Linked DNA regions of Mus musculus. The protein of the gene in region 5 binds, or shares a complex with, the protein of the main gene of each other region. Links are inferred from orthologs where the notes say so. Each region holds a gene or a part of one and is shown on either strand. Other genes may lie near its edges. The genes, in order: Eftud2, Cwc15, Lsm8, Snrnp40, Snrnp200, Txnl4a and Cript.

Evidence for each region.
Region 1: Snrnp200 (region 5) and Eftud2 share a complex: the UniProt entries of both Homo sapiens proteins name them as parts of the minor spliceosome. The link is inferred for Mus musculus from reciprocal best matches to the Homo sapiens genes SNRNP200 and EFTUD2.
Region 2: Snrnp200 (region 5) and Cwc15 share a complex: the UniProt entries of both Homo sapiens proteins name them as parts of the minor spliceosome. The link is inferred for Mus musculus from reciprocal best matches to the Homo sapiens genes SNRNP200 and CWC15.
Region 3: Snrnp200 (region 5) and Lsm8 share a complex: the UniProt entries of both Homo sapiens proteins name them as parts of the U4/U6-U5 tri-snRNP complex. The link is inferred for Mus musculus from reciprocal best matches to the Homo sapiens genes SNRNP200 and LSM8.
Region 4: Snrnp200 (region 5) and Snrnp40 share a complex: the UniProt entries of both Homo sapiens proteins name them as parts of the U4/U6-U5 tri-snRNP complex. The link is inferred for Mus musculus from reciprocal best matches to the Homo sapiens genes SNRNP200 and SNRNP40.
Region 6: Snrnp200 (region 5) and Txnl4a share a complex: the UniProt entries of both Homo sapiens proteins name them as parts of the U4/U6-U5 tri-snRNP complex. The link is inferred for Mus musculus from reciprocal best matches to the Homo sapiens genes SNRNP200 and TXNL4A.
Region 7: Snrnp200 (region 5) and Cript share a complex: the UniProt entries of both Homo sapiens proteins name them as parts of the minor spliceosome. The link is inferred for Mus musculus from reciprocal best matches to the Homo sapiens genes SNRNP200 and CRIPT.

The regions. Positions count from the first base shown.
Region 1 is NC_000077.6:102,877,719-102,882,474, forward strand, and holds the start of Eftud2 (116 kDa U5 small nuclear ribonucleoprotein component), read right to left. Parts: upstream 3,258-4,756; 5' UTR 3,177-3,257; intron 1-3,176. UniProt on the Homo sapiens protein: Required for pre-mRNA splicing as component of the spliceosome, including pre-catalytic, catalytic and post-catalytic spliceosomal complexes. Component of the U5 snRNP and the U4/U6-U5 tri-snRNP complex, a building block of the spliceosome.
Region 2 is NC_000075.6:14,506,899-14,511,057, reverse strand, and holds the end of Cwc15 (spliceosome-associated protein CWC15 homolog), read right to left. Parts: intron 3,208-4,159; coding exon 3,089-3,207; intron 859-3,088; coding exon 729-858; 3' UTR 438-728; downstream 1-437. UniProt on the Homo sapiens protein: Involved in pre-mRNA splicing as component of the spliceosome. Component of the PRP19-CDC5L complex that forms an integral part of the spliceosome and is required for activating pre-mRNA splicing.
Region 3 is NC_000072.6:18,851,143-18,854,719, reverse strand, and holds the end of Lsm8 (LSM8 homolog, U6 small nuclear RNA associated), read right to left. Parts: intron 3,085-3,577; coding exon 2,957-3,084; intron 1,120-2,956; coding exon 1,029-1,119; 3' UTR 668-1,028; downstream 1-667. UniProt on the Homo sapiens protein: Plays a role in pre-mRNA splicing as component of the U4/U6-U5 tri-snRNP complex that is involved in spliceosome assembly, and as component of the precatalytic spliceosome (spliceosome B complex).
Region 4 is NC_000070.6:130,366,403-130,370,561, reverse strand, and holds part of Snrnp40 (U5 small nuclear ribonucleoprotein 40 kDa protein), read right to left. Parts: intron 2,374-4,159; coding exon 2,208-2,373; intron 1-2,207. UniProt on the Homo sapiens protein: Required for pre-mRNA splicing as component of the activated spliceosome. Component of the U5 small nuclear ribonucleoprotein (snRNP) complex and the U4/U6-U5 tri-snRNP complex, building blocks of the spliceosome.
Region 5 is NC_000068.7:127,228,380-127,232,538, reverse strand, and holds part of Snrnp200 (U5 small nuclear ribonucleoprotein 200 kDa helicase), read right to left. Parts: intron 3,998-4,159; coding exon 3,914-3,997; intron 3,481-3,913; coding exon 3,374-3,480; intron 3,054-3,373; coding exon 2,935-3,053; intron 2,654-2,934; coding exon 2,499-2,653; intron 2,406-2,498; coding exon 2,216-2,405; intron 2,026-2,215; coding exon 1,852-2,025; intron 853-1,851; coding exon 692-852; intron 134-691; coding exon 1-133. UniProt on the Homo sapiens protein: Catalyzes the ATP-dependent unwinding of U4/U6 RNA duplices, an essential step in the assembly of a catalytically active spliceosome. Plays a role in pre-mRNA splicing as a core component of precatalytic, catalytic and postcatalytic spliceosomal complexes.
Region 6 is NC_000084.6:80,205,362-80,210,050, reverse strand, and holds the start of Txnl4a (thioredoxin-like protein 4A), read right to left. Parts: upstream 3,226-4,689; 5' UTR 3,150-3,225; exon of another isoform or gene 2,990-3,149; intron 2,898-2,989; 5' UTR 2,861-2,897; coding exon 2,708-2,860; intron 1,942-2,707; coding exon of another isoform or gene 1,822-1,941; intron 1-1,821. UniProt on the Homo sapiens protein: Plays a role in pre-mRNA splicing as component of the U5 snRNP and U4/U6-U5 tri-snRNP complexes that are involved in spliceosome assembly, and as component of the precatalytic spliceosome (spliceosome B complex).
Region 7 is NC_000083.6:87,023,956-87,028,764, reverse strand, and holds the start of Cript (cysteine-rich PDZ-binding protein), read right to left. Parts: upstream 3,205-4,809; 5' UTR 3,106-3,204; coding exon 3,090-3,105; intron 1,067-3,089; coding exon 1,001-1,066; intron 1-1,000. UniProt on the Homo sapiens protein: As a component of the minor spliceosome, involved in the splicing of U12-type introns in pre-mRNAs. Involved in the cytoskeletal anchoring of DLG4 in excitatory synapses.

The DNA.
Region 1 (4,756 bases), on a different chromosome or scaffold from region 5:
CTAAAATTCAAGGAGAGAAGAGTTAGGGACTGGCAAGTAATGAAAGCCTGCACCACACACCCTTACCTTTCCTACCACGTAGGCAGGTGGTGACTGGGCTGAGTGACTGACCAGGCTACTGAATAGTGTCCCCAGAACGCAGACCTTTCTCTACTTCTCTGCCCTGGTTCATTCTATCTTCTTATAGCCCACACTCTTTTATTAGGGACATTCTTTGTTGCCTCAAACTCTATGTAGTTCATGCTGGTCTTAAATTTCTGATCCTCCTGCCTTAGCCTCCAAAGTGGTGGGGTTACAAACATAGGCCCAGGCCTAGCTTTATTTAAACATTTTATTTATCTATTTTTATTTTCTCTGTATGGGTGTTTTGCCTGCATGTATATCTGGGTACCATACACATAGGCACACATTGCCCATACAAGCCAGATCCCCAGGAACTGGAATTGCAGACAGATGTAAGCTAACATGTGGATGATGAGAGTTGAACCTGGGTCCTTTGAAAGAGCAGTCAGTGGTCGTAACCACTGAGACATCTTTCCAGTCCCATCTGGCTTTATTTTTACATTTAAAATAGGTTCTCACTGTTATCCCAACCTGGCCTTCAACTCAAGATCCTCTGCCTCTGCCCCCCCCCCCCACATAACAGGTGTACAAGTAATGCCTAGTCCACCTATTCCCTTTCTGTATTTATTTAATCAATTAAACTGTGTGTGTGTGTGTGTGTGTGTGTGTGTGTAATTTTATGCATTGGATCATTTAGGAACATGAGGATTGTCATGTGAGTTCTAGGTAGGATCTAACTCCAAGTCTTCATGGTTGCCTAGCAGGTACTCTGAAATGCTAAACTCTCTTTCCAGCATCTCACTTAAAAAAAAAAAAATAGTATTCTCAAAATATCACAATGCAATCATCAAAATAAAAATGAATACCAGCAGGTTATACTACCTAATCCACAGGCTCCACCAAGTTTGAGAAACTGTTCCAGTCACAAACGACACTGCTAAGGACACAAACTAGGATCGTACTTGACTTTCACGTGACACTTTTCCAGATTACAAACCAAGGCTTTTGAAGAATCTCCCTTCGTGTGGCTTTGCCTCTGCTCTGAGAGGTACACGATTCCAACTTGTCCTCACTGATGATTCTAACTTTGACCCTTAATTATGGTGACAGCGGACATGCTTGTCCCTTAGTGATGGGTAAGAACTCATTGTTCTCACTGCTCTTTTAAAGGACCCAGGTTCGAATCTCATCAACCACACGCTACCTTACAATTGTCTGCAACATCAGCAGATTTCCCCCCACTTCAACGACTGAATATTCTGTTCAAAAGAACAGTTTAGATCTCACCCTACCAGCCTTCCCAGCCCCTCAGCCTCTCACTCTCGTCAGTATCTTCTGTCCCAAATGCTAGGCAACTGTTGTTATTCTAAAAAACAATTCTACGGTTTGCGAGCAACACAAACCAGAGCAGGGGAAAAAGCATCAGGCCCCTGGGGTTAAAGACCTCGATCCATCCTATCTTGGCCTCATTTCTAAGGATGACGTAACTCACAGAAGTTAGTTTACCTCCTTAGAGTGATTTATTATTGCCTAAAACCTTATAAAGGCAATGAGTAAGTACCTAGCTGTGCAGCCTGATAACCTGAGTTCAGTCCTGGAAACCCACTGAAAAGCTACATAGGGTAGTGTGAGTGTCTGTGATCCTAGACGGCCAACAGGAAATGGGAGGCAGAGATTCTCTGAAGCTCAGAGCCAGCTAGCCTGGTATTGGCAGTAAGGAGGAGATAGGACCAAACCCTGAAGCTGTCCTCTGACCTCCACCTGCAAGCCACAGCACATCTGATCCTCACTTACTACACAGAAACACACACACACACACAGAAACACACACAGTGTGATTATCCAAGCATAGGATCTTATACCCATGATCCTACATACATCCTGAGAGACCCTGTCTCAAAAAGCAACAAGTAACAAATGTTGGTCATAACAAAACTTGACCTTCTTGAGCACGTGAATCCCCATGCTCCTTTGTGTTCACGCACCAATGCCCCTGACAGCACCTTGCACAAAAAGACACTCAGTAAAGCTAAGGGAGTGGAATGTTTTGTTCTGAAATTCTGGTATTTCTTACAGTATACCTACTGTTTTTATTTCTAAGAGGCAACCACAATTATGTTCATTGTCTTCTCCCAAGATTACCATCACAAATTTTTAAAGAAGGTTGTTTACTGAACAAGCCAAACTCATCTCTGCCCCCAGGATAATTGTCATTCCCATTGTCCTCTGGCTATGTATACCTTCTTAATTCATTTAACTCACCCTTTTCCTTTAATGTCACCTATTTGTCACTCCACATATACTTGCCAGGCCACCCTTACACTAATCTCTTAGTGTGTGGCTGGGTGCTTAAGATCGAATCCTGGGCCTCACACTCTACTAAACACTTCTCCACCGAGTTACACCCCTCGCCTAAGTAAAGTCAAGGTTATGCCTGAGTAGTACTTAGGGAACATGTGTGTGTGCCCGCTACTGATAAATGTTAATAATAAAATAGGAGCAAAACGACAACAGTGCCTGGGACAAAATAGGCCCTCAATACGTTTTGCTAGTTTTGTTTTTCGAGGGTGGCTTTGGGTAGGGGAGTGAATTAGTGATATGCTTAGTTTAAGTAAAGCTACTCTAAATAACCAAAACTGCATCTTCCCACTGCAACGCAGAATCTCAAAGGAATGCTGGAATCTTTTCTGGTTTTGGCTTTTTGAACCAGACCCGCTACTTAGCCTTGAACCTGCACCAATATTTCTGTCTGCATCTCCAGAGCGCAAAAATTAGGCACTCGCCATCACAGTCAGCTCGGATGCAGAATAGTTTGAAGATGGAGACAGTCTGGCGGTGAAGCAGGCACCGATGGAAGGGGGAGTGGCAGGGGCCTGGGTCTTTACAGCGCCACCTCTACTAAGGGACAGGATCTTAACCACGTTGGGGACCGCGGAAACCCCGGAATCGACGGTGTGTGCGTGCGTTGGGGTCTTTCATTCTCTTTCCCACGCCAGAATTCAATTTACGCGTTCGTTAAGCGAAAGGGATAAGTACTATATAAATCGCCTCTTCCCAAGCTCATGTTTCGCTCGTTCCCCAAGCCCCGAAAGGACCCTTCCCGGCCAGCTCACCCGCCGAATGCTCAGCCGAGTGCCCCGGTCCGCCGCCTGAGCCCGCGCTTCCGCCGCACGCCGCGACAACGCCGGCGCCCGGCGCTAGGAAGGACCCCGAGCGCGTCGCCGGACCGCCTCGCCTCGGAGGACAGCTCTGCCTAAGGAACAGCTTCGAGAAATTCTGGCCCCGGAGACAGAAATGGGAAAGGCCAACTTGTTGGTCCTCAAAACGAAGCGTGGACTTCTCCACAAAAAAAGCAAGGCCGGAGGATTCTGATCAGGCGCCTTAGGACAGCCTGAAAGGAGGGCCTTCGGGCCGGTCACGTGGGCAGACTGGTGGCGCCGTTGCTAGGCAACAATCTCTGTTGCGAGGGCGATGCACTAAGGTGTTCTACCAGATCCGGGGTTTCTCGAGAGAAAGCAGGGAGTCCAAGACTGGGTGAGGGTTTAGGGACAGTAAAGGGGATTGCTCTAGTCATTCTATAATTGGAGAAGGCTTAGAACTCGACAGAGAAATGGGTCGGGTAGCGAGAGTCTATCGTCTCTATTGCTTAGAGGCTGAGCCTAGATCATGATGAGCTCAGAAGTTTTGGAGAGAGCAAACTAGGCACAGCGAGATCTCCTCACCCCCCAAAATATTGCTTAGGGTATGAGACTCTTGAGTACAATTGTTGGCTGAGTAACACAGCCCACTTCTCGGCGTTCCATTTCCCATCATGGTTGGGATGGCTGTGGATTTGCTTGCGGACCAGCTCATTTCCTGCCCTAGGGCTGATCATGAGTGAACTATGGCTCCAGCTCACCAGGATTCTGAGGTGGAAAGAGGTATCATAAGTAAATGTCAGAAGCCAGACCGGAACACATAGCTTCCTATGAAAACAGCCCCATCAGACACATACCGGGAGGCGGCAGGACTTCAGTGGTAGGACTGGAGATAATGCCCACACAGCACACATTTGCCTGCCGCTCTGTGCTGCTCAGGGATTTGGGGATGGAGGCTACTGAGTTTTCTCCTTCTGACACTTCTCAACTTCCTGCTTTGTCATTGCTTTTGGTTGAGGTGATTTTTTTTTCTTCATTAAAGACATTTAGTGAAGTGTGAAATTTTGTCCTTGAGCTGGAGTAGATAATAAAAGAAACCTCTCTGTCTCTCTCTGTATCTGTGTCTGTCCTCCCCTCTCCCCCCCTCCCCCGCTCTGTTCCTTTATGGTAATAAACTGATATAGAGAAATCCTATGTGAAAGAATGAAGAGTCAGAAATCTGAACTCCAAATTGCCTCCTCAGATGAAACACCTGAATTAATAGGTGTGTGTGTGTGTTGTGGTTTTGTGTTTTGCTGGGGATCAAACCCAAGGCATTTGCATTCACAAGGCAAAATCCTACCGCTGATCCAGCCCTTAGTGTCTAAAATATTGTTAGAAGCAGAGAGCAAAGTCAAGACTTCAAACGGGAAACCTTTCTGTTTTGTTCTCAGTGAGAAGCCTGGAATACATTTTCATCACGCAATTCCATTTTACCTGTAAAGGAAGAAACTAGATTTTTATAACACTCCAGGTTAAGTATCAGATTGCTTTGGGTCATTTCACATTCTGGCAAT
Region 2 (4,159 bases), on a different chromosome or scaffold from region 5:
GCACTGACTGCTCTTCCGAAGGTTTTGAGTTCAAATCCCAGCAACCATATGGTGGCTCACTACGACCCGTAATGAAATCTCATTCCCTCTTCTGGTGTGTCTGAAGGCAGCAACAGTGTACTTATCTACAATAATAAATAAATCTTTGGGCCAGAGTGAGCAGAGGTCCTAAATTCAATTCCCAACAACCATATGGTGTCTCACTACCACCCGTAATGAAATCTCATGCCCTCTTCTGGTGTGTCTGAAGGCAGCAACAGTGTACTTATCTACAATAATAAATAAATCTTTGGGCCAGAGTGAGCAGAGGTCCTAAATTCAATTCCCAACAACCACATGAAGGCTCACAACCATTTGTATAGCTACAGTGTACCCATATACATAAAATAAATAAATAAAATCTTTAAAAAAAACCCACAGCACACAAAAGTAGTTTTCATTTTGAAAAGAAATTATGCAACTTTTTATAAGCTGTATAAATTGTAGCAAAAAGTTGGGGACAGTGGTTTATTTAGGTTAAAAATATTTATTACAAGCAGATTCCCCGTTTCCCATATTAAAAAGAAACTAAGGCCTGGTTAGATCCATTTCTAAACCCATTATCTAATAAAGTACTACACTAAGGGAAAGAGACTGAGAAAGTTAACACTGGGAAAGAACAGAAACCAAAAAAAAAAGTCAAATTGATCCTTAACAGTTTAGTTTTTAATTAAGCACATAAAACTATATTACTTAATATATTTCTCCATGAACTTCTTGTGAAATTCAGATCGCAGTGTATCATTTACAAATCGTTTGTCTTTCTTCTGGTCATCTATACCTTTTGCACAGTTCTTAAAAACGACATCATCATCCCATCTAAAGAGGAAAAACAAACAACAAATCTGTTATAGTTCATCAGGAGACAAGAACACAACAGACTATAAACCATCACAGATGCTCAACATGCTGTCACCAGACAGCAAAAGCAGCAGCATGCCTACTGTGTGGGGCTGTCACAGCAGGAGGGCATCCCCACTCAGAGCAGACACCACTTCTCCACTAGGAGCAAGTCAGTTACAAAGAAGACACACATAGATTGTGCTTAGGTAAAAGTGTGGTATTTTCAGATTTAAAACACAGAGGCAGGGCCACTTGTCCTGATCCAGACACCTTCAGACAGTAAGTGACCTGTTTACTGTGCTTTGTACAGTTTCATACATTCTCATCAGTTATATCTACCATGGCACACTTCATAATGCAAGGACGAACTACAGGAATGTAACAAGAAAGATTTATAGACCCATGGCTGCTGAAGTGTTCAGAGTAGAGCTCAGTTATATTTCAGAAAACATTAAACACACTCATCAGCAGGTGTTACGGGAAATACGTAGACCAGAGCTATGACCTTCTACATAAACATAAGCCCTTACATATAATAAAGACACTCAAAAACATGCATTAAACACAGCCCATGTAACATGCTTGCATGTGCTGGTGCATGACCACCAGGAGAAACTGCACAAGGGAAATGAGCAAAGCTATGCACACTTATGGAAACTATGTCAGTAAATTTGTCTTGATGCAGTACACACACTAAAAGCTGACCTGCTCAGTGTGACAGGGATACAAATGTTTTGTCTCATATGCAACATGTAATTGATAGCTTCTCTTCACTTCCTCGCTTGCTCCCAACACCCAAACTGCCCTGCCCCTCTGCAATGCTAAGATACAGTCCTCCCTTTCTGCACTTACATCACCATCCCTAGACCATCATCTCTCTCCTCTCCCAATACTCTGTGACTCTCTTGGCTGTCCTCTTCTCTGGCTGCTAAGTCTTAGCATAAGATTTTAAATTCAAATACTATGTATTATGCATTTACTATGCACTTATACTGGGCACTTCTCTAGTGCTGATACAATCTTTTGACTTCTCTCTGCCCACGCTGGCAACTCCCAGATGCATTATTTAATTTCTAGCTTAGACAAACTGCAGAGACACACAGGCTAGATTTACTTAAGAGATGTACAGAACACTCCAAACCTACAATGCCTCAAACCTGCTTCCTCTTTCACATTCAGCATAAGCCATACTCATCCTCATTCCTGCCTCGCAACTGCTCAGGTCAAATGAATAGAGACTGAGCTATGATAAATTGCTAGTTGTCAGCAACCATCTCCTTGACTGTACTATTGTCTTCAAGAATGTGGGTTAAAGTTTAGCTGCATAGGTCACTACAAGGGCTGTACTTTTCCTGTGATTGAGTAAAGAAGCCAATGGTTCTGGGATGAGAAAAGAGGCTGAAGACGGAGCTTTGTTCATGAAGGGTAGGTACTGAGTGAGTGAGCAGGAGAGTGGCAGGGCAGTGCTTCTTCATTGCCGTGTATGCAGAGATGAGGCAGTGGAGCTCCTCACACCCTCACACACACTACCCCTGCTCCTGTGAGGCATCCTCATCCGACATCGGTGTCCCTCTTCAGCTCTTTATTGTCCCCCTCTGCACACTGTACATGAGAGTTCCCTCTTGGGCCCCGACTCTAAGCGTAGCTTTGGTTAGTTAGCACTGGAAACCCGCACCTTCTCTCACCATCACTGTGCCTATAGTGCACAGGTTCCTACAGGACCACTCCCTTGAGACTCCTGAGTCTCAACTTTAGTTTCACTGTTTGGTGACCTCTTACAAGGAACAGGATTTTAAGGAAGCCTATATCTCTCCACCTTGTGACTTGGATGTATATCCATGAAGACTTACAACTGTATGATCTGTGTGTATCTTATAATATCAAACATGAATACCACCATACCAAGTCCCCTAAGTCCTTCTAGAATTGAATTGTGAGGGGTGGTCTTGGGGACCCCAACACTAACATCTCACGTAAAGCTTGGTAGCTACAGTCACTCTGGCTCTCTTATTTAGACAATCACTAAGCAGAGACTTGGCTATTATAAGTATGCATTAAAATGAAGTCTCCCACCTCTTTTCATCTTCCGTATTCTAAAATCTGATTGGGAAGGTTATCAACAGAAAGTGGGATCCTAGAAACTTTATAGAACACACGGAACACTAACCATGGTCACACACGTACACCAACCCATGACTTTTCGTACCTTCTTTTAACCTTGAAGTTGGCCTGAGGCTGGGACGGGCCAGTGAGGTTTAGGAGAGGGTTTCCACTCAGAATGTTTTCCATGCGAATTCTCTCTTCCTCTGCTTTTTGTTCTTGTTCCTGTCAATGACAGAGGAAGACACAAAGTTACTCTCTCCAGGTCAGCTGACCAATATTAGCCCACAATGAACTCATCTGGTACAGGGAGAAAAGATACTTTTCCTTTTTTTCTGTTTAATGACAGGGTCTCCAGCAACCCAAGCTGGCACGGGACTCGCTAGGTAGCAGAGGATGACCTTGACCTTCTGAGTGCATGGTAGGTGTGCAGGCCCCCATTTGCAGTGATAGGGATGGGGTGGTGCAAGGCCTGCTACAAAGCACTTTACCACTGACCCACTCCTCTTTTTGATTCTTAGTAAATGCCAGGAAAATCTTACTAATAAAACTTAAGCACGTTGCCATTTTTATCCCATCCTTGCCAATAGTCATTGGCCTCTCTAAACTGTGAGAAGCTGAGATGCTAGCAAGGTTGTTGTCTCACTTTTTAAGGGGCTACAGACAACATAATTCAATTTTGAGTTACAAACCATGTTAAGTTTCCATCTCTAGGATGAATTAGTTATTAACTAGGGAGTAATTCCTAAGACAAGACAAACTGTCATGTAAAAGATGGTCACATTCTAATAATATGTACTTCAATTAATTTATATAAAATATCGTTTGTTCTTATGCTTTATTGTTAGCGATCTATACCTTTCTTATATACTTTCTTCACTGTTACAATACTGTCTATATTTTTAAAAAGTATTTCTGTATATATTTAGCGTGTGTGCATGCATGCATATGGGTACCACAGTACAACGGAGGTCAGGGGACAACCTGCAGAAATCCATTCTCTCATCATGTAGGTTCCCTGCTAGGCCATCTTGCCCATTCTCCATTTGTTTTAAAGACACAAATTTTCAATGCTAGTTTGGTTTGGCCTTCAACTTGTGATTTTCCTGCCTTAGCCAATGAGTGTCAGGATCAGAGGTGTGAGTCACCATTTCTAGATCACTTTCTTCACTACTAT
Region 3 (3,577 bases), on a different chromosome or scaffold from region 5:
AAAAGGATGTCTACATCTCTCTGACACTAAGATACCCATCCATTTTGGTCCACACGTTAAACTGATGAGTTCCTTGAATGCTTAAAATGTTTAAATAGACCTTACAGCACTGTTTCTATGAATATTTTTAAAAAGTTTATCAAAGTAGCCTCACGGAGCCGGGAGGTGATGGTGCATGCCTTTAATCCTAGCACTTGGGAGGCAGAGGCAGGCGGATTTCTGAGTTCAAGGCCAGCCTGGTGTACAAAGTGAGTTCCAGGACAGCTAGGGCTACACAGAAAAACCCTGTCTTGAGAAAACAAACAAAACAAAAAAACAAAAAACAAAACAACAAAAGTTGCCTCATGGACTAAGTAATGAGAGACAGCAGAGAGCACTGCTCTTGATTTAACTAATTTCCCACATTAAACAAAAGCTCTTTGAATAGAGATATTCCTCACTCTAGTTTAAAAAAATTCAGTAGTACAATGGCATTTAACATTCACAAAATCTTCTTTCAGAAACCAAATCTTGTGACCTTAACAGGCATCTAAAAATTTAGACACAATTTTTCCAACTACTGGAGAACTGTACCACATTGGGATAAACTCTATGACAGTTACCTGTAGACGGCCATTTACTATCTGGTATTTCTAAAAAAAAAAAAAGGAAAGAAAAGAAAACCACAAAAAGAAATGTGTCTTTTATTACTATTATTTGCATTAGTATAAGTTACAATAATAGTCTAAGTTCTCTTTACAGCCAATTTCCCATAAATATTAAATTACCAAAAGTAATGGTATTTTCTAAGTTTTCAAATGATCCTTAGATTTTTGTATCATTTGGTAGAAAAATAAACCAGCCAACCACATTTATTAATTTAGGCAATGTTTCCCAATAAAAAATGTAGAAATATTTAAATTACATATTACAGTGTACCAACATGAAGTCAAACTGCACAATTACACACTCATAAAAACCCTAAACATCACTCTCAGGACAGACGCTTCTGTACAGGATTTACACACATCTCACTACACACTGAGGTCTCAGTGTGCTACGGAGTTCAGAGGCTCTGCTCGGATGTTCCCCAAGTCGAGTGCAGAATCCGTCTCTTCATCTATTTCCCCAATGACTGCTCTGTTATTAATATGAGAAAAAAGAGTCAAAACATTTCTAAAATAAATTGACATACATTTCTAAAGTCTCATTAACTACAGCATCTTGTTTCATGCTTCTTAAACATGTGGAACTGAGAAGGTGCAGCAAAAATACAAGGTAGGAAACAAAAGCCATTTCATCTCATCACTAAGTGAACTGAATTACCCATGTCATGGGACTCAAGAAGTAATGTGAAGGTAGGACAGGAACATATGTAAAGAGATACTGTGAAGAGTCTGAACATCAGCTCTTTGGAAAACTGACATCTGATCTGCAGCATTTATATGAGGCAAACAAAAGTCTCCATGGGGTAGTGGGGCTAATTGCAAGCTACTAACAAGACCCTAATCCATTTATTAGCAAAAATTCTTAAAACTGTTTTCATGGGTTCCTGAAAGCAGGCTCTAGTCCCAGCAGGTTTAGGGTAAATGTTTAATTCTGAATTATTTTTTGTACATAGACCCAGGAGGCACCGTAATCATCAGTCCACACACCCCCAGTGTTTCATCAGTACTGCTGTGGTCAGAGGACCTGGCCCTCTGCTCTGGATCACTCTTTATAACTCACGTTATAATCTAAGCCAAAAGTCATCTCCAGAGACTATTTTATAGATTGTAAACACAATTTTAATTAAGGATCAGTTGATCATATTTACCAAAATACAGTTTTCAGATAAAGTTAAGTGCCTAGAGCATGTGTTCATTTTAAAATAAGTGTACAGTATTAATAAATTAATCTTAAGCATATCCACAAAGTAAGTTCAGTGTCTCTTCCCTACATCTTACGGAGCCCTTCAAACCACCTAGTTACTAACGTCTTTTGCTGTCCTCTAGTCATATTTTGACTATTCATAGTATTTAAACTTAAATGTTAGCCACAGGAGGTAGATTACATGTATAATGCTAACACCTGGGAAGCTAAAGGAAAATGAAGTAAATCTGGGTTGGTAACAAGTTCCAGGTCAGCCTGGTTATCCTCAGAAACCAAAACCAAACAAACAAACTACATAACCCCAAAATCAATTTTTAAATTAGTTCTTTGGTCACCAGCCGCTTTTCAAACACACCACAGCTATACAAAGCAAGTAGCTGTAACAGTGGAAAATGCTGAGGCGTGAGGCTTCCCATCATTAGAAAAAGTGACTGTGAAGAGCACTGCTCGAAATGGTTACAGCCTTTCTCAAACTACACTGTCAGGGTCCTAATTCAACAAAACAATAGGTGCATCGTGGCACACATTAAGTACATCCACTACACTAAAAATAGTAACAGTTAAATGAGCGTGGACCATTTAAAATAATTCAAATGGGAGATTTTTTAAAAGATATTTTCCAAATCGTTAAGAAGCCTCTTTAAGAAATGTGATGAAAAAGCAGGGCCCTTTGTGGACATATCTGGGCACACACAATGATGGTTTAGGCTACTAGGAGGCTGCGGTTGTAGGGGAACCTAAAGTTGAAAGTCAGTCTGAGCAACTTAGGAAGGTCTGGTCTCAAGATGTAAAAAGAGAGACCGCAGCTCAGTAGTAGACTGCCTGTTCCCATGTACAAGATTCTAGGTTCAAACCCCGATTCTCAAATAAGTAAAGACACAGGAAATCTCAGTAGGCAACTGTTTGTGAGATCACTTTAGTTGACCCCTGAGGCATCTAAACATACAGCATTTAGAATTATATATAAGATAAGCTCTACCTACAAAACAAGTTAAGTGCACAATTCTATGATACATATGGCATCATGTATGTTGGAGAAACTCTCTCTTCCATAAAGCAAACATACCAGTAGCACAAATGTACTCAAAATGACTTATGTACTTACACATTGTCGCCCCTCACAATGTATAACCCCAACACCACTTGTTCTACTCCCTGTGAAGAGCTGAACACCCGCTCATGGCTTTCATCCAAAATCAAGTTAATGGTCTGGTCAAAACCTTTTAGTGTTCCCTGAAAAGAAAAAAAAAAAGAAAAAGAAAACAAAAAATAATGTGGTCCTGAATATATAAATCAAACCATTTCAGTTGTCAGCCAAGTACTTATGTCTTCCTTTCTGTCCAAAAGAAGATAAACTATCTTCTGTAGTCCAGAAGTATTCCACGACACAGAGCTTATCCTCCTACTTGTTTTATGATGGGGAAAACCTGTACCATCAATCTCACTGTTGTAGAGTTGTTGGGAGTTGCAAGGGACAGGCAGGCACCAGTATTCTTAAAGTAAGTGACCTCACACGGTCTAGGAACTAGCACTTAAGAATGAACCAAAACAGGACAGATTTAAGGGGAAATGATTTTTTTTTTAAGTTAATAAGGTGAACCACAAACCATCAGTGCAAAAGATCACTGTATATTGCTTCTTCCAGAAAGGTCCTGGACTGAAGAAATACACTCCATGAATCACCTCTACTTTCCTTCATCTTTCCAGTCAGCATTTGTTTTGCCCA
Region 4 (4,159 bases), on a different chromosome or scaffold from region 5:
CCAAAAAACTCCATTTTCTTGAGAGTGAGATATCTTCTTGCGATTCTAAATATTTTTACATATTTGATCTGGCTCTGTGCATGTAGCCAATTTCCCACTTTCCCTTCAACTCTTTGCCTTCCTCACTTTGGTTGTCCTTAGGAGGGTCCTCCTCCCAGCCACACTGATCTGACTTCCTTAACATCTCAAGACCTTATCCCAAGAACCCATTCCCACAACAAGAAGAAGTTTGATGTCTTCAAATAAATTCAAAATAAAAAACTATGCAAAAGCAGAATCTTTAAGTGATATGAGATGTTACTCGTGTTACAAAATATTACTTTGGGGCTGAGGAGATGGCTCAGCAGTTAAGAACACTTTTTGCTACTGAGGAGGACCTGGGTTTGAGTCCCTGCACCCACATGGCGGTTCATAACCACTTGTAATCCCAGTTGCAGGGAGTGCAATGCCTTCCGATTGCTGTGGATCTACAGCATGGACTTGGCACACACAGACATACACAGTAACTTATACACTTAAACATGAGGACAAAGGGCAAACTTTTGGTCATGGTATTTCATCCCAGCAATAATAACTTTTAACTAAGACAGGTCTATGGTCTCAACTACTTAAAATGCTGCAGTTCAAGGCTAGCCTGGGCTACAGAAGGTGTTCAGGGCTGAACTGGACAACTTATTGAAATTCTGTCTCAAGCGCCAGCGGAGGTCAGAAGGCACCTGATCTCTTAGAACTGGAGTCACAGAGGGCTGTGAGCCACCATGTGGGAATCAAACCTGGGCCCTGTGCAAGAACAGCAAGTGCTCCTGACTGGCAAGCCAGCTCTCAAGCCCCGTACTTACTGTTCTTATGGAGGACGAGGCATGCATGTTGTCCACATAGAAACATGCAGACAAAGCATCCACACACATAAAATAGGTGTATCTAAGAAATAAAATAAAAAGTAAGGGGCCAGGACGTGGCAGCCAGAGAAGGGGGAATAGTAGCAGGTGTGTGTGTGTGTGCGCGCGCGCACGCATGTGTGCATGGTGTGGACATGGTATCAGGGGACACAGGCATGAGAGTGGCACAGAGAAACGCATGATTCAGGTGGTATTATGAAGCATCATGCCTGGAGAGATCTCGATTGTTGTTTTCCCCCCCTTCCTATTTCTAGGCCCCATTTTTTTCATTTGTAAAATGAGCATGCTGGATAGGATCAGTGGGTTCTAAAATTTCAGTGGGGTAACATTTTAAATACTTTCATGGCCATTCTAGACTCACTGAACCAGGTTCTGATTAATTTTTGCTTACTTGTGATTCATTTATTGAGTTCTTTTTCTTGAGACAGAGTCTGGCTGGACAGCTCAGAATGACCACTCTGACTTTGCCCACCACTCTGGGCGTGTTAGTGTTATTAACTGTCTTTTGAGACTGTCTCACTATGTAGCTGAGGTTGGCCAGCACACCAGTTCTACTCTGGGTATTTTTTTTTTTTTTTTGTTTTTCGAGACAGGGTTTCTCTGTGTAGCCGTGGCTGTCCTGCAACTCACTTTGTAGACCAGGCTGGCCTCGAACTCAGAAATCCGCCTGCCTCTGCCTCCCAAGTGCTGGGATTAAAGGCATGCGCTACTCTGGTTATTTTTAATAGGTTCTTCAGGTGATTCTAACACACACAGTTTGGCAATCATCCAACAAAATGATCTGCATAAGTAGGTGACTGAGATCATTTGCTGACCTCTTTTAGATATCTGTAATTTCACAAGAACCTTGTAAGCACTTATATTACTACTAATAAAGTTCAAAGGGTTAACGAAGTCCGCAAGGCAGTGGCGGTACACGAGGCCAGACTGGTCTACAGAATGAGTTCCAGGACAGCCTGTCTATGCAGAGTAGACAGAGAAATCCTCTCTCCAAAAGAAACCACAAACAAAACCAAACAACAACAACAACAACACCCCAAAACAGTCAATTAAAACCCCAACAAACTAAAAAGACTAAGACAGTAATGCTTGGAGAGTGAGCTGCTCAAAGTCACACAGTTCATCACTGAGCCATGAGTCAGATCCACACAGCCCATTGATTCCAAGTAGCAATATATTCTATAGAATTCTGCAGAGTAGTATTTTAATTAGGAAATTTTAAGTGTGCTTTGGAATACTGGCAGGAAGACAGGATAGAGATTACATTATGCCACCTCAGACAGCGAGACACAGAAAAACAATACCCACCTTAACTGTACCATCGTCACTGCCAGTACAGACAAGTTGGGGGCCCCGCCTGGCTGGGTAACAGGAGTTCACAAAGGAAGTATGCCCCTTTAGCCTTTTCACTCTCTCCCCAGTTTCACTATCCCACACCGCCACAGTTTTGTCTGTCGACGCTGAGAAGAGCATGCTAGAAAGAGAACACAAAGTAAGACAAGAGACCAGAGTAGTCAAGAGCACTGGCTGCATTTCTAGAGGACCTGAGTTGGTTTCCCAGGACACAGAAAACGACCCCAAACCGGTTGTAACTGATGCTGTCTTTCGGCCTCTATAAGTACTGCATGCATGTGGTATACAGATATACATGAAGGGCAAACACCTAAACGCATAAGAAGATAAATCTCAAAAGAGAGAGAGAAAAAAAGGGGCAAAAGTCATCTCTCTCTCTCTCCCCTCCCCCAACCAAAATGTGTCAGGTTCTTTCATCTCACTGCCTGCTGCACTGTGACTTTAGCTCATGACCACAGTGTGCCTCATCCTACCTTTGGCCACCCGATTCACCCTCTAGATTCTGTAGCAGGCTGATCCACATCATAGGAACAATACAGAGGTCTATCAACTCACCTTTTTCCCTTTTTGAGATACATATGGATACACTGCCCTCTAAGATGAAGTATTTAAGTACCACCTGCTGTGGTTACGATGAGGCTGACTGTGGTAATTAGATTTAATAGGTGAGTAACTCCAATTCTTTGTTCTGTCTCTGGGAATGATTTCTATGTTAAAGTTGATCTCATACTGCTCTTTCTGACAGGACCATGCTATGTAGCCCAGGCAGGTTTTGAACTCAAGACGCTCCTGCCCCATCACCACCCAAGACCTGGGAATGGAGTACGCACAATTATAATGCTGAAGAAAAAAATAATTTCTTTCTATTTTATGCCAAAGGGTATGTTGCTTGTCACGTGTGTGCAGTGTCTATAGGCCTGAAGAGGGCACTGGATGCTCTGAAACTGAAGTTACTTAGGGTTGTTGACAAGAATGTGGGTGCTGGGGTGCTGGGAACTGAACCTGAGTCTTCAGCAAGAGCATCAAGTGCTCTTAGCCTCTAAACTATCCCTCCAGCTCCTTATAATGTGTTCTTAATTCACAATGTAATAATGCAACATTGTGAAGTTTGAGATCAGAAATGTGAAACAGGCCAGGTGCAGTGTCATACACTTCCAGTCCCAGTTATTCAGGAGTCGAGGCAGAGGGATGGCAAATTCCAGATCAGACCGAGTAAATGACCAAGACCTTGATTCAGAGAGAAAAAACAGGGGCCGTGGAGATGGAGATGGCTTAGCCGGTATGAGGACCAGAGTTCAAATCTCCACATAAACACTGAGTATGGCCATACATACCTGCAACCCTAGCTCTCTGACAGAGCAGAGACAGGAGAGAACCACTGGGGCTTGCTGCTCACCAACTCAGCTCTAGACTCAGGGAGAGAACTGGTCTCAAGAGAGTAATGACCAGAAAAAAAAAAAAAAAAAAAAAGAAAGAAAGCCAGGTGTGCCTTTAATCCCAGCACTTGGGAGGCAGAGGCAGGCAGATTTCTGAGTTCGAGGCCAGCCTAGTTTACGGAGTGAGTTCCAGGACAGCCAGGGCAAGAGAGACAGAGAGAGAGAGAGAGAGAGAGAGAGAGAGAGAGAGAGAGAGAGAGAGAGAGAGAGAGAAAGAAATGTACAGAACAGTAAATCAGGACACCTGATGTCCTTTTGTCCTTAAATGCACACAGGTACGCATGTAGGGGCACAGACACACCCCACCTCCAAAATGCCATCATATGCTATTAGTATAATGTCTATCTAATCTTGGAACACGAGGCTATGAACAGGTAAAAATAAAAATTAAAAAGATAAGATCATGGGTTGGTGAGATGGCTCAGAGGTAAAGGTAGCCACTACCAAGCCTGATCTCCGTGCTCATGTTTT
Region 5 (4,159 bases):
CCCACTTCTCAGGGGTACTGATGATGATGTTGCCTTTGCCCAGGAGCTTCAGATCTGTGCTGGTCTCCCCCGTCAGCAGCACTACCTTCTTGTTGAGCCTGTCCTGAAACTTCTCATACCAGTCCATGTATACCTGACAGGCAGGGGAGGGAGACATAAGAACAGTCGATCACATGTTCACCTCTCACTTGCTAGGAGGAAACAGAGACACAACAGACAGCTGCCACTCTCATACCTTATGCTCTACTTTTTGTTTTGAGATGGGGGGCCCAGGCCAACCTCAAACTTTTTATGGGTTCAAGTAAACCTCTTGCCTCAGCCTACTAAGCATCTGAGATGACAATCATGTACCACCATACTATATTAATGATATTGTTTGAACTACAATAGCCTTTAAATGACAGGAAAGCTTTTCTCTAAGAAACAATAATGTGCTTGGTGGTGGCAGTAGTGTACACCTTTAATCCCAGCACTCAAGAGGCAGAGGCAGGCAGATCTCTCGAATTTGAGGTCAGCCTAGTCTACAGAGTAAGTTCCAGGACAGCCAGAGTTCCATAGAGAAACCCTGACTTGAAAACAAACAAAAAAGAAATGATAATGCAGTTGTCAGAAATGAGAAAACCTCCTCCTGGGGTCACCTATGGAATGGTTTCTGGGAAATTTACAGTCAGTCCCACAGCATATTACATACCTGCTCTGCCAGAGCCTCCATAGGGGTAATGTAGACACAGCGTCCCTCAGAATTCTGCAGCAGCATCCGAAGGATGGCAAACTCCGCGCAGATAGTCTTCCCGCTGCCCGTGGGGGCCCCCACAAACACGTTATCATCACTGTTGTACACGGTATTAAATACTGGAAACCAAAAGGTGTAAAGTAAACATGGGGGGGTGCGGGTAGGGGGAGTAAAACAGATCATTCGTCAAGATTATGAGCCACAAAGTCAATCAGCTATGCAGTATACAGAGAAGCCTGAAACGCTGGTCCAGCTGTCTGTGTCTCACAATACTTTCTCCTACAAAGCAGGAAAGGAAAGACTCCGAGATCAAGCTCAGGTGTCTTAAGAGATTTATAGAAAGAAAGAAGCAAAAAAACCCCAGCATCTTTGTCTCTCAAGGACGGTGCCACAGTACAAACACAACAAGACACCTTTCTCTGCCCCATCAGCAAGTCTCCTGCAGTCTCTACAAATAATCAAACACTGAAGGGGAGCCCTGACAGCAAGCCGAGCTATTTACGAGTTGCTTTAATTAGGGCTCCTGTCTAGGCCACAGCTTCCTCATCATGAAATGTAAATTAACTGTGGCGCTAAGTAGTAACCCTTTTAAAGGATTGATGGAAGAAGAGAGAAAACACTGGTCCTGTGCTCAGCCAAGTACTTGGGCACAGGGCTTGCTCTGTGAACAGTCATCATGTACAATGATGGAGTGAGGTCCCAGTCAAAGTCATACTCTGGATGAACACCAAAGCATCAGGAACACGCATTAGCACCTGGAGCAGGAGTAAGAAAACTCAACATGGAAAGACCTTACTCTTCTCACCCTCCTCAGGCAGGTATGCAGAGCACCAAAGTGCCGGCCGCACTACACACTTATCACTAGGTAACCTTAAAAAGGTAGGCATGAAAAAAACAAAAAAGGTAGGCATGGATGGCAGGTATGGGCGGAGAAGGGGCACAATATTAATCCCATCACTTGGGAGACAGAGGCAGGTGGATCTCTGTTGAGCTGAAGGCCAGCCTGGGCTACAGAATGAGTTCCAGCATAGCCAGCACTAGTACATAGAGAAACCCTGTCTCAGTTAGAAAAGGAAAGGCAAGCATGGGAACCAAAAAGAAAAGACTCTGACATCTACCTTGAGTCTGGATGGGATTGAAGAAAGGAAATTTATCTTGGTAAAGGCTCTCAAAAGCACTGTTTCTCAGAGCAGACACAGGCAATGGCTGCAGGTCCAACAGTTCGGTTGGAGGTGGGTACTTCTCTGGTAGGATCAGATGCCGGAAGGAGACAGGTAGCTGCGTCTCACAAGCTGTCAGGAAAGAAACGGAAGGCTAGGAAGCAACCCTCCAGCAGACCTCCACAGCTCATCTGTGAACAGTGGAGACCTTAGCTTGTGTCTGTATCACTCTTTCAAAAGAGACAATGCTACAACAAAGCAAAAAGCCCTCTCCCATCTTTAGAAGGTATGTTCCTAGGAGACACAGAGAGGAGATACTCACAGAGCCAGCGATCAGACACTACTCGAATGAAGTACTGAGGAGGTAGTGGTTCAAAGACTGGAACAAAGAACGTGATGAGGTGCTCATCCTGGGCATACTTGGCCTTCAGCAGAAAATATTCATGGTGCAGAATCACCTCACTGTCCACATCCTCCACCAGAATCCAAAATGCCTCTGACGAACCATGGACCTGCCAACCCAAGCATGGTTGAAAGAAATCCTGACGAGCCAGTGAGGGAGACTCAGGCACTCCAACTCCACCCATCTGACCATCAAGCCTTGCCTTTTCATCCCACTGGAAATCTGGTGTGATAGTCAGCTCTACTTTCAGCGTAGAGCGTGTAATAGGCTGCAGGTGCACTGACAACTCCAACTTGGGGAAAAGATGGACATACTTGTGGATGGTCTTCCCCATCTTCGGCATTCGAATAAGTTCACCTATGAGGAAGAAGAGTATTGGGGCTGGGCCCAGCCAGCCTAGCAAATCTGCAAACAGGGCCCAAGGCGACTGTGGAAAGGAGCAGATTCTAGCCAGTGCATAGGCTCCCCACTTTAGCCTCAGTGCAATACTAACAGTTCAAAGTCCTGAGTGTAAGAGTGGCCTTACACAATAGTAAGATATAAACATGAGAACTAGTGCCCAGGGTCTAGGAACAGGAAGGAGGAGGCTGACAGAGAAAGGTGACTGGGCTGCAGGACAGGACAAGACCTTCACGCACCTATCTCATTATGATTCAAGTCATACAGCCGCTCAAAGGGGAAGTTTTTCTTCTCAATCTTCTTCACTACTTCCTCAGGAAGTTTTCGGAACTGGCGAAGAGGACACATGGACTGCCACCTATTCAGAAAGGAGACAGAGCTGGGTCACCTCTTTTGTAGCACTGTAAATAAACTGCCTTCCCCACGTTTTTCATCACTGCTTCCAACAGTCTGGAATAACTACACAGACCCTACATTAGAGGAAGATGTCTGAAACTGACAGCAGAAAGACCAGAAAGCCAATCCAGCTGTTGCCCCCCCAGCCCTACCCTCTACAGGGGCTTCCCACTTCCCAGCTTTCACCTAGGTTCATGCCATATCTCAGCCACCAGGACTGAACATCAAATGCACTAAGGCCCAAATTCACAGCAACCAGCCTCTAGCTCACTGAGCCCTTACATGCGCTTGTCAATCATCTTGCAGAGATTCAGGGTCTTATCTGTAAGCTGTGCCCAACCTCGGTTCAGGACAATTTCGAAGATTGCACGCATCAACCGGCCAGCCGACTAGGGAAAGACAAGTATTCCAGTTGTGAAGTCTTATCTACCACAATTTGATGAGCTCGAGATCTGAGGAGATCACTCATACCAATTCAGAAACAAGAGTTTTTCTGCCTCCTACCTTTTTAGGTTAAGACAGAGAAATTAATAAAATATTTTGTCATGTTTTATGACCATGAAGCTATGGTGGGAAGTCACTTTTCCTGGAGAAGGTGACATGCCCTGTGGATCTCTCTCTACAAGGACCTACAGAGCCTCTTAGCACTTTATAAAGCCCGCCCTTCCTGCACGCTCAATATCAGCACAATAGAGTGGTGAATTAAAGTGGCAGCAGGCAGCTGGCCCACCAGCAGTATCTGGCCACCTTGCTTTGAGGAACACAGTACAGAGAACCCAGGAACTATTTAGACTCTGCTCATCACTCAGTGCAACTCCTCACCTGGGTCACATACACCATGTCAGCCATCAGCGCAAAGCCTTCGAGTTTCAGCTGTGAGATGAAGGCTTGGAGAAGCACGTTGATCTGCAAAGAAGCAAAGGAGCTAGCGGAGGCTGGTCACTGACCGACTGCTCAAAGAAATTATCTGCACTTCTGCTCTGGGAACATGTTCCAGACAGAACCTTCCATGGTTCCTGATTTACACATGAAATGGTTATTATTCCATATAAAATATATGTGAGAAAG
Region 6 (4,689 bases), on a different chromosome or scaffold from region 5:
GATTTTTAAATAGTTATACTGTTCTTTACATACTAAAATCTTAAATTTCAAAAATTTATGTTGAAAATTCCCTGGAGTTCCCAAACTTACGAATGTGTATTTTGCCATTACACTAAGGAAGTAGAACAACAGTGATTTTAATGTAATTCAAACTTACATTTTTAATAACTATACTAAAACATAGTATTAAAAGTTTATTAAGAGTATGGAAAAAATTGCTCAGTGGTTAAAGAGCTTGCAGGACCCAAGTTCAGACCCCCAGAAACCCATATCAAGAAGATATGATGGCCTACCTTAATTCTAGTCCTAAAAGATGGAAGACAGAGGATCCCTAGAGCAAGCTGGCTAGCAAGACGAGCCTCACTGGCAAGCTCAGTGTTAAGGAAAGACCTTGCCTCAGTGAATACCGAGGTGAAGAGTGACTGAGGAGGACGGGCACAGGACACCTGGCTAGCATGGTGGTACCAGAGTTATTAAGAGGAGCAAAAAGGGAGCTCATTAAGAATGCAATCACATTTTTTGGACAAAAGAAAATGCAAATTAAAAGACTAAAGGAAATATTTTTGAAGGAGACCAATGAACCCAACACCAAATACAGCGCATGTCTGGTGAGTGGGATGGCTGGCCTTGTCTGCACCTGAGCAGCACTGAGACAACAAGATAACAAGTACGGGAAACGCTTAAGTTCTGTTTAGCTGGGGAAGAGCAAAGGGCCTCAGACACAGCCCTCCTGACAGGAAAGCCCTCCTGACACTGGTCAAACCACCTTCAGGTCAGAATAACTAAAGGACAGCTGTCCTCAACTAAAGCAGACTCAGCCGTGGACCTGCTTGTAGTGGTGCTTCAGTGAATCTCTGCATTTGCCTTCTGAGGGACCCAATCACCTCATTCGTACCTCTAGCCTGACTGACAGGACAGCCTGCACGCCTGCAGGAGAGAGACTCCCAGAGGAACAGGGCAGGGCTGGCTGAGAAGCTGCTCCTCAGAAGCTAATCTGCACCGAATCCCCTGGAGGCCTCAGCCCAGACCAACCGTGTTCCAAGCTTCCAGAGAAGCACTCGCAGAGACACCTGTGATAACTGGATGTCAGAACTGCCCTCCACCAGCCTCTCCGCAACACGGAAGCAGAAAGCCAAATGCTGCTGCTTTTCCTTCACACGCACACATCCCCGTGTCTTACTCCAGAGAATGTCTTTGCTATGGTGACTATGGTTCAGTGGCAAGGCACCTGACCCTGGCCTCACTTATAGCTCAAGTAAATAAAGTGACAATCCTGTGGCAGACGTCATTTGAAAGCTAAGAACTACTTTAAGCCAGCAGGCGTTAGCAGCATGGGTGAGAAGGAAAATAGTTCCAGCATTTCTATCAGTGTTAACTCTTCTTTGACTTTCAGGCTAAGCATGGTGGCAAACACCTTTAAAGCTAGCACTGGAAGGTGGAGACAAAGGCAGATAGACTTGTCTGCAGGGTCTAAAGACATATAGATACATGTCTACACAAGTTCCAGGGCTATGTAGGGAGGTCCTGTCTCAAATAAATAAGAAAGTAAATAAAATAATATTGAAATTACTTATCATTAAATATTACAGTCTTTGCCCTATTGTTACAATCATAAAAAAGTTAAGTCATCCTAAAACCGTGAAGAGGAATTCACAGAATGAACCTCCTAATCGTGTAACAGTGCCTGACAATTACACTTCCAGTGTCAGGAAACAAGTACTGCCACCCTGCTTATAAATATGGAAAACTAAGAACACCAGTTCCACCCAAACTCAACTTTCAGCATTTGAATAACTGCAAGCTACAAATCAAGTAACTTACAAAGAGCTTGAGGCTCATCCCAGGACTTGGGAGGAGGCAGGGAGAAGGAAAGAATGTGCAAGGTCCCTCTGGGCGACACAGTGAATCCGGTTTTCTTCTCTCCCAGAGAGGGGGTGGGGGCTAAAAAGTCCATCATGGTATTAACCTAAAAGTTCTGCTTCATAAATACAATAAATCCATAAAATATTGAGAAAAGGCCAATAATGTTAAGCTAAGCCGCCTAAGTAAGCTCCAACAAGCTCAACAAAGCTTGCAAAGTCACTCTGTTGACTACACATAAGGTACATTGTTTTTCTTTCTTGAGACAAGGTTTCTCCGTGTAGCCCTGGCTGTCCTGGAACTCAGAAATCCGCTTGCCTCTGCCTCCCAAGTGGTGGGATTACAGGCATGCGCCACCACTGCCCGGCGATACATTGTTTTTGAGACCCAGTCTTATACAGTCCTGACTGGCCTAGAACGATCAGTGCCTCAGCTTCTAGAGTGCTAGGATTAAATGCATATGCCACCGCACCTGGCCCTAGTAAATTTTTTAAAACATCATCCACAGTGGTGCCCGGTAATCCCAGAACTCTGAGACTGAGGCGGCGAGTTTAAGGTCCGTCTGACTATATATACATATAGATACATACACAAGACCTATCTCGGACCATCCATCCCCTTCCGTAATCACAAAAAAACCCCCAAAATTTATCATCACTTATTTTAGGAGGAAATCATAAATTTCTTCAAATTTTAAGAAACTCTAACCATTTCTAGCACAAACCTTGCCCGTACATGAACCCCGTCTCTCTGTGGGTCTCTGCATGGAACACAGGACTCGGGCTTGAAATCTGGCGTCCAAACCGCCCTGCGGGGCCCAGCACGGCGAACACTGCACATGAGTTACCTTTTCGGCGATGCTGTACAGAACCTCGTCCATCTTCATGCAAGTGGGGTCCCAGTCGTGTCCGAAACGAATGACGACCACGCGGTCCTCCTCCGAAAGGATGGCCTGGTCTACCTGCCAGCCATTGTGCAGATGCGGAAGCATGTACGACATCTTGAGCGCGCCTGCGCGGCCGGACGCCGCGAGCTACCTGTGGGTAGAAAGAGCAGAGGATCGCGACCCCATCCGGACCCCAAGAACCTGGCCTGCACCCCAGACTCTGCCTAGGGCCCCACTGCAAACCTGCAGGCCACCGCACCCCAAACCTCCACTGCTCGCCCCGGGCCCAAAGCCCATACAGGGCCTCGGCTCGCACGGGAACCACACCCTCGAATCGCCACCTCCGCAGGGAACACACCCCGGCAGCCCCTGCCCCATGGGGCCACACCAGACGACCTCTAACCTCGTGTGAGCCCACGCGGCCCAAACACCGCGTCCTCCACCCAGCACCAGCTCCTCCCGCGCCGTCACGCGCTGACGCTTTTCGGCGCTGCTGCGCAGGCGCACGCTGGCGTCATGCGCATGCGCGGGGACGTCGCCGTCGGCCTCTTGGTCCCCACCCCACCCCTGGTCGCCGCCCAGCGAGCTGGGCCTGCGCAGAGCGAGCCGTCGGTGAGCGCGTCGAGCTCGCCTTCTTGGCGACTCGGTGCCTCTGCCGAGGGGGCGGGGATACCCGAGTCTAATCTCGCGCTCAGCCTCTTTAGCAAGTGCTCCAGAGCACGGTCGAGACCCAAGCGTCCCCACCTCGTAACGCGTCTAGTGTTGTGGGGTAATTTGTCTCTATTTTTATTATTTTTGTCTTTTCTTTTCCTTCTTTCTTTTTTTTTTTTCGAGACAGGGTTTCTCTGTGTAGCCCTGGCTGTCCAGGAACTCACTCTGTAGACCAGGCTGGCCTCGAACTCAGAAATCCGCTTGCCTCTGCTTCCCGAGTGCTGGGATTAAAGGCGTGCGCCACCACGCCCGGCTTATTATTTTTTTATTGTGCTGAGAAATATGGCAAGTCTTTGGCCAAACTTCAGCCATGCTCCTGATCTTTTCCATAGGCCTATCTATGCATTCTTCTGTAAAATATCTTTCTGCATCATCAGACACTCTTGGATATAATCAAGTTTTTGGACCTGTACCTTATCCCAGAGGTCAGATCTCCTTGGCTTCAGCCATTATCCTCCTAATTTCTCTTTCACAGATCCATTCCTCTTCACCCATAATGTTCCACAATTGGTAATTGAACATATTTTCCTCCCTACAAGACCACGTTGCAGTGTTCCTGAACCATCTTCTTAAGCTATTACAAGTAGGAATACTTTTCTTTACCATATCTGTGTGTGTGTGTGTGTGTGTGTGTGTGTGTACGCATACGCGCGCACACACACGTGTTTAAGTTTGCCACTTTAACCATTTACTGGCATTAAGTACAAGTCACCACTATCCCTCTCCTGATAAAAATTACAAATTAAAAAGCAACGGTTGAGGAGATGACTCCAAAATAAAAAGCATTTGTGGCTTTTCATGAAAACCCAGGTTCTGGAGCTAGAGAGTTGCCTCAGCAGTTCCAGAGGACCCAGGGTTCAATTCCCAGCTATCACATGATGGCTGGCTGTAATTCCAAGATCTGACACCCTTACTCAGACATGCATGCAGGCAAAACACTAAGCCACACAAAATAAAACAAGACCCAGACTCGATTTCCATCACCCGTATGTCAGTGGGCAAACGTCCATGACTCCAGTTCCAGGGGACTCAGCACACTCTGGCCTTTTCAGGCACAAGGCACAAAACAGTGCACTTACACATATGTGCAGGCAAAACATTCATACTCATACATCTTTTTTTTTTTTAAGTTCAACTTCATCCTTGGATCATACATAGTATGTTTGAGGCCATTCAGAAGTATATAAGATCCTGTCTCAAAAATAAATAAAAATAATTTTAGGGGCTGGAGA
Region 7 (4,809 bases), on a different chromosome or scaffold from region 5:
GTTAGGGTTTTACTGCTGTGAACAGACACCATGACCAAGGCAAGTCTTACAAAAAAAAAACCAAAAAAACAAAACAAAAAAAAAACAAACATTTAATTGGCGCTGGCTTACAGGTTCAGAGGTTCAGTCCATTATCATCAAGGTGGGAGCATGGCAGTTTCCAGGGAGGTATTGGTGCAGGCAGAGCTTAGAGTCCTACCTCTTCATCCAAAGGCTGCTAGTGGAAGACTGACTTCCAGGCAACTAGGGTGAGGATCTTAAGGCCACATCCACAGTGACACACCTACTCCAACCAGGCCACACCTCCCTGGTACAAGAATATACAAACCATCACAGACCCTTATTGTAATTTTTAAAAATCTTCATATAATAGCCCAGTTTTTAATGAACACTGTATAATTGCTTTATTGTTCAGTCTTAAAGTAGTGCTTTGACAATGCCTACACTCTTTTTGTATGTGTAACATCTGTCTACTTTGGTTTTTTTTTGTTTGTTTGTTTGTTTTGTTTTGTTTTTGTTTTTCGAGACAGGGCTTCTCTGTATAGCCCTGGCTGTCCTGGAACTCACTTTGTAGATAGACCAGGCTGGCCTCGAACTCAGAAATCCGCTTGCCTCTGCCTCTCAAGTACTGGGATTAAAGGCATGCATCACTGCACTGGGCTTTGCTGTATGCGTTTAATAAAAAAAAAAAGTAAGGCAGTCTAAATTTGTTTGAGAATGTAAAACTTAGATGTGGGAAGGAAATGTAAACACAGACTTTACCAATCTGAATCAAATAGACATACATTGAAATAATAATTTTACTACTTCTTGACTATATGAGGAATCCGTACATGTAACTCAGATGATGAAGAAAGATGTGCACTCCCAGGAGAACCGAGCCCTCGGTGTTTACTGGGCAAGGTAATCAGCATCTAACACTGCACTGTGCAAAATGTGACGCACCAGAGCAGGGCCACAGCGCTTGACCCAGCTCCTGTCTCCTAACAGCAAACAGTACCTGTGGTGTTCCGGGCACCATCTTTCCATGTGTCTGGAGTGATAACTCTGCCGAGTTTCTTTTCACCTGTGGTCGCCAAGACAGCAAAAGAGAACAGCTGTCATCTAATAAGCAAACTGTGTGGAAATAAAATAACAAAACCCATTTCTTTGCTAACTTTACAATAATAATTTAAAATGATAAATATATTGTATCGCCTAAAGTACATAACGATATGAAGTCAGATTATAGGAGGAACCTACTAATGCCAGGGTAGAAACCAATGAATGAAAACTTAAGATAGTAACAGTGGGCAACAGATACTGGTTCTAAATAAAACTTACAGGACAAAACGATGCTCTAGTAACAGGCTTTAACTGATTATACTTTAAGCAGTTCTGACAAACTTATTCATTCCTCTCTCTCACATTCTCTAATCACCTAGTCTGTACAAAGCACCATGCAAGGTTCTGATGAAAACAAAGCAATTTAAAATGATAAATATATTGTATTTATATGCTCCAAATGGACAGTTACTTAGTACTGTTTAAGTAGGGCACTGTTCAGGGTGGAGAAGAGCACTGGATGCTCAGTGGTATGGATGTGCCAGCTGAGGCCAAACAGTCCTCAAACACCTAACAGAACAAGGAAAAGAAAGCACACTGAAACCAAACTCCCTGGAACTCAGTAAATGCACAACTGGAGAACACGTACGTGCCAAGTTCTAAGAGGTAACTCTAAAAAATTGGAGAAAAGTAACTTTCTCGAATAATGTGTGATACAAGGGAAGACTGAACTGAGGCGGCTGCTGACATTACAGCTTCTGTATGCAAGTACCTCAGTTTACTTACGGGGTGCATGCAATGAGCAGACAGACTGAGAGGCTACAGATAATAAGACCTTAGATTTCTCAGAAGAGCAGAGGAAATGACCTTTCAGGGCACAGCACAAAGGACGGCTTCACAATCTAAATACATTTAAGCCACATTTAATTAACCATTTATCCCACTTTCGAAAAGAATAAAAAACCGTTTAAGAATGGCACAGCTCTGGAGGGGTGTCTGTGTCCAGAGTTCTACATACTGAGGGGCTATGAACAAAATGGGTCCTGTATATCCGCCAGTAACTGAGATGTGGGTTGAATCTTGTCAGAGAAGGCTGTCTAGCCCATGAAAGAGATCAAGAGAAGAAAGTTGTTTTTAAACGAATCATCAGCTTTTGCAGCTACCAAAAAAAAAAAAATTAAATATTTACAACAAATCTTAAGGGTTTCATTGGAATTACTGAATGGTAACTAAAAGGGTTAAAAAGACCTTTCTAAAAGCCAGGGGTGACTACTTAAAGATTTCTTTGGTGGTGATGAGACTCTCTCCTTCACCTGACCCAAAGCTGTGAGTATTAATGAATTGACGGGATGGCTCAAAATATCCAATTTAACTTAATTTCAGATAGCCACTGAAGTAATTTTTAAAATAAAATCTAGCCGGGCGGTGGTGGTGCACGCCTTTAATCCCAGCACTGGGGAGGCAGAGGCAGGCGGATTTCTGAGTTCGAGGCCAGCCTGGTTTACAGAGTGAGTTCCAGGACAGCCAGGGCTACACAGAGAAACCCTGTCTCGAAAAACCAAAAATAAATAAATAAATAAATAAAATCTGTATTAAATGCGGCATGTTTTGTAGTAAGGAAAAGCAGAAAGTCAAGATTTAAACATTATTCGGGACATATTAATAATACTGGAAATTAACCATTGCTTATAATCTTAAGATGTAACCGAGAGCCTGGAACTTATACTTGTGACATCTGTCAACTCTTGATGCTACCAGAAAGATCGTGAAGATCCGATTTAAGCCTCCGAGAGCCAATCAAGAAGTTGTAACGGAGGAGACCCAGAAGGGGCGCGAGGACGACAACAGAAACAAACACAAGAGGCGCAGAACTGAAGCCATTCTCAACACAGAGCGGAAGGCTATGCTTACGGGACAGGCAAGAAGGGCCGAGGGGCAGGGTAGGAAGACACCGGTTACGCCACAGACCAGCAGGGGAAAACCAGAGAAATCCCGAGAGAACTTCTCAGCCCTCCACCTCCCCCAGAAGCAGCCCCTGAACTTACACTTTTCACACACCATCCTTACATGGGGGTGTCCCTGTGCCCTCAGCCGGCAAAGCAGGAGCAGCAACCCAAACACAACAACGCCCCAGCGGAGACGACTTCCTCTTCCGGCTACGTCAGCCCGCTTCCGGACTCTCAGCCCTCCCGCTCCGGCCTATCCCGTACCTAGAAAGTCGCGGGAGGGATAAACGCGAGCTGATGGGCGGGGCTGCTCTCATTATCCCGCCCCTTCTCGTCAACGATTGGCTGTGCGCTTGTGAGTTCCCCCCGCCCCCTCGCTTTCTGGTCTGCGCCTGCGCCAGGGGCCATGCCAGCCTGTAGCACCTGAGGGTGGGAGGCGGTGGTGTCCCCCTTCCCTTCGGCGGGCGGGAGAGTTAGGTAAGCCGGTGGCGGGTTGCTTCTCACACTCGCCCGGGGCGGGTGCAGGTCGCACCGCCGACCGCTGCGGTGACTTCCAGGGCGCCACGCTTCCGGCGGACCAGAGGATGCCCTGCGCTACCGACCCTCTGAGATGCCGGCGTCTATCACAGTCTCTCAGGGGACTCCGACCTCAGGTCACCGGGTCGGCCGCACGGGCTCTCTCTATGATGGCGACCTCCAGTTGCCCACACTGCGCCGTCCGAGGCTGGGACGGAGCCACCTGGGTGGGGTGGAGCTGCGGTCCGCACCTGAGCAAAGGCTGCTCAGGAGGAGGGCTCGGGAGCAGCCAAGCCTTCCGACCCCGTTCTCACGGGATCGCGAGTCCCGAGGGCGGCTTCCCAGGTGTGGTGTCCTGGGTCGGGGACTCGCTCGCCGGTGTCACCTTTGCGTTTGGGTACCGCTCGCGCTCGCCGTGTTAGATGGGTGTTTGCCGGTGGCCTAGGATGGATTTCTGATCGCGCTTCCTGCCTGACCCCGCAGTGGAAGGGAGAATCTGAGAAACTTTCCCCAAGTCTTTTCACGGCTATGCGTTCTTGTCCCGACCCTGGAGGATTTCTTCTTGTTTAAAGAGGCGATGCTTGAAATGGCTTGTGCGTGTGTAACCTTGGCCGTATCTGCTAACTTGTTCATCCAGTTTTCTTAATCAGTATCATTTGCTTTTGAAAACGATAAGTGTGAATGAAATGAGGGCTAATAGCACCATGCCCAGACTTGCGCTTTTACCTTTCCTGCTAGTTCCTCACCCTGCGGTGTGGATGTTACTTTTTGGGCCCGATTTTTACTACATTGTAACATGTGTTACTTTTAAGTTCTTAATTAACTTTAGTCAGTATAACATAGAAACTGTTCTCTAGGTCAAATATATGTATTTAGAGACTGGAAACTATTGTTTCTCCTCCCACTCGCGTTCTGCTATTACCATTATTTAACATCTGTACAGACAGTGTGAGCCCTTAGTGTAGCATAATGACCATCTTAAGATGGTCCTCCACCATTTGCATATCTAAGTGTATACTTGGCTGTCATTTGGGAACTGCAGTGATTTTCGCCAAAAAAGTAAAATTAGTTGCTGGTGTCTGGCACATGTCCCCTTTGTAGAAACCAGTCACAAATATTTAAATTTTTACAGGAATTTTCTTTTTGAGGCTCTGAAAGATAATGTATACCATATTAGAGAAATCTAAAGTAACAATTAAAATCTGCATATGCTTGTTCTGTGTTTTGAAACAAATATGTTGCCCATAGAAAATTATTAATACATGGTTTATATTTAGAGTATTGAAGTGCTTGGGACAATGGA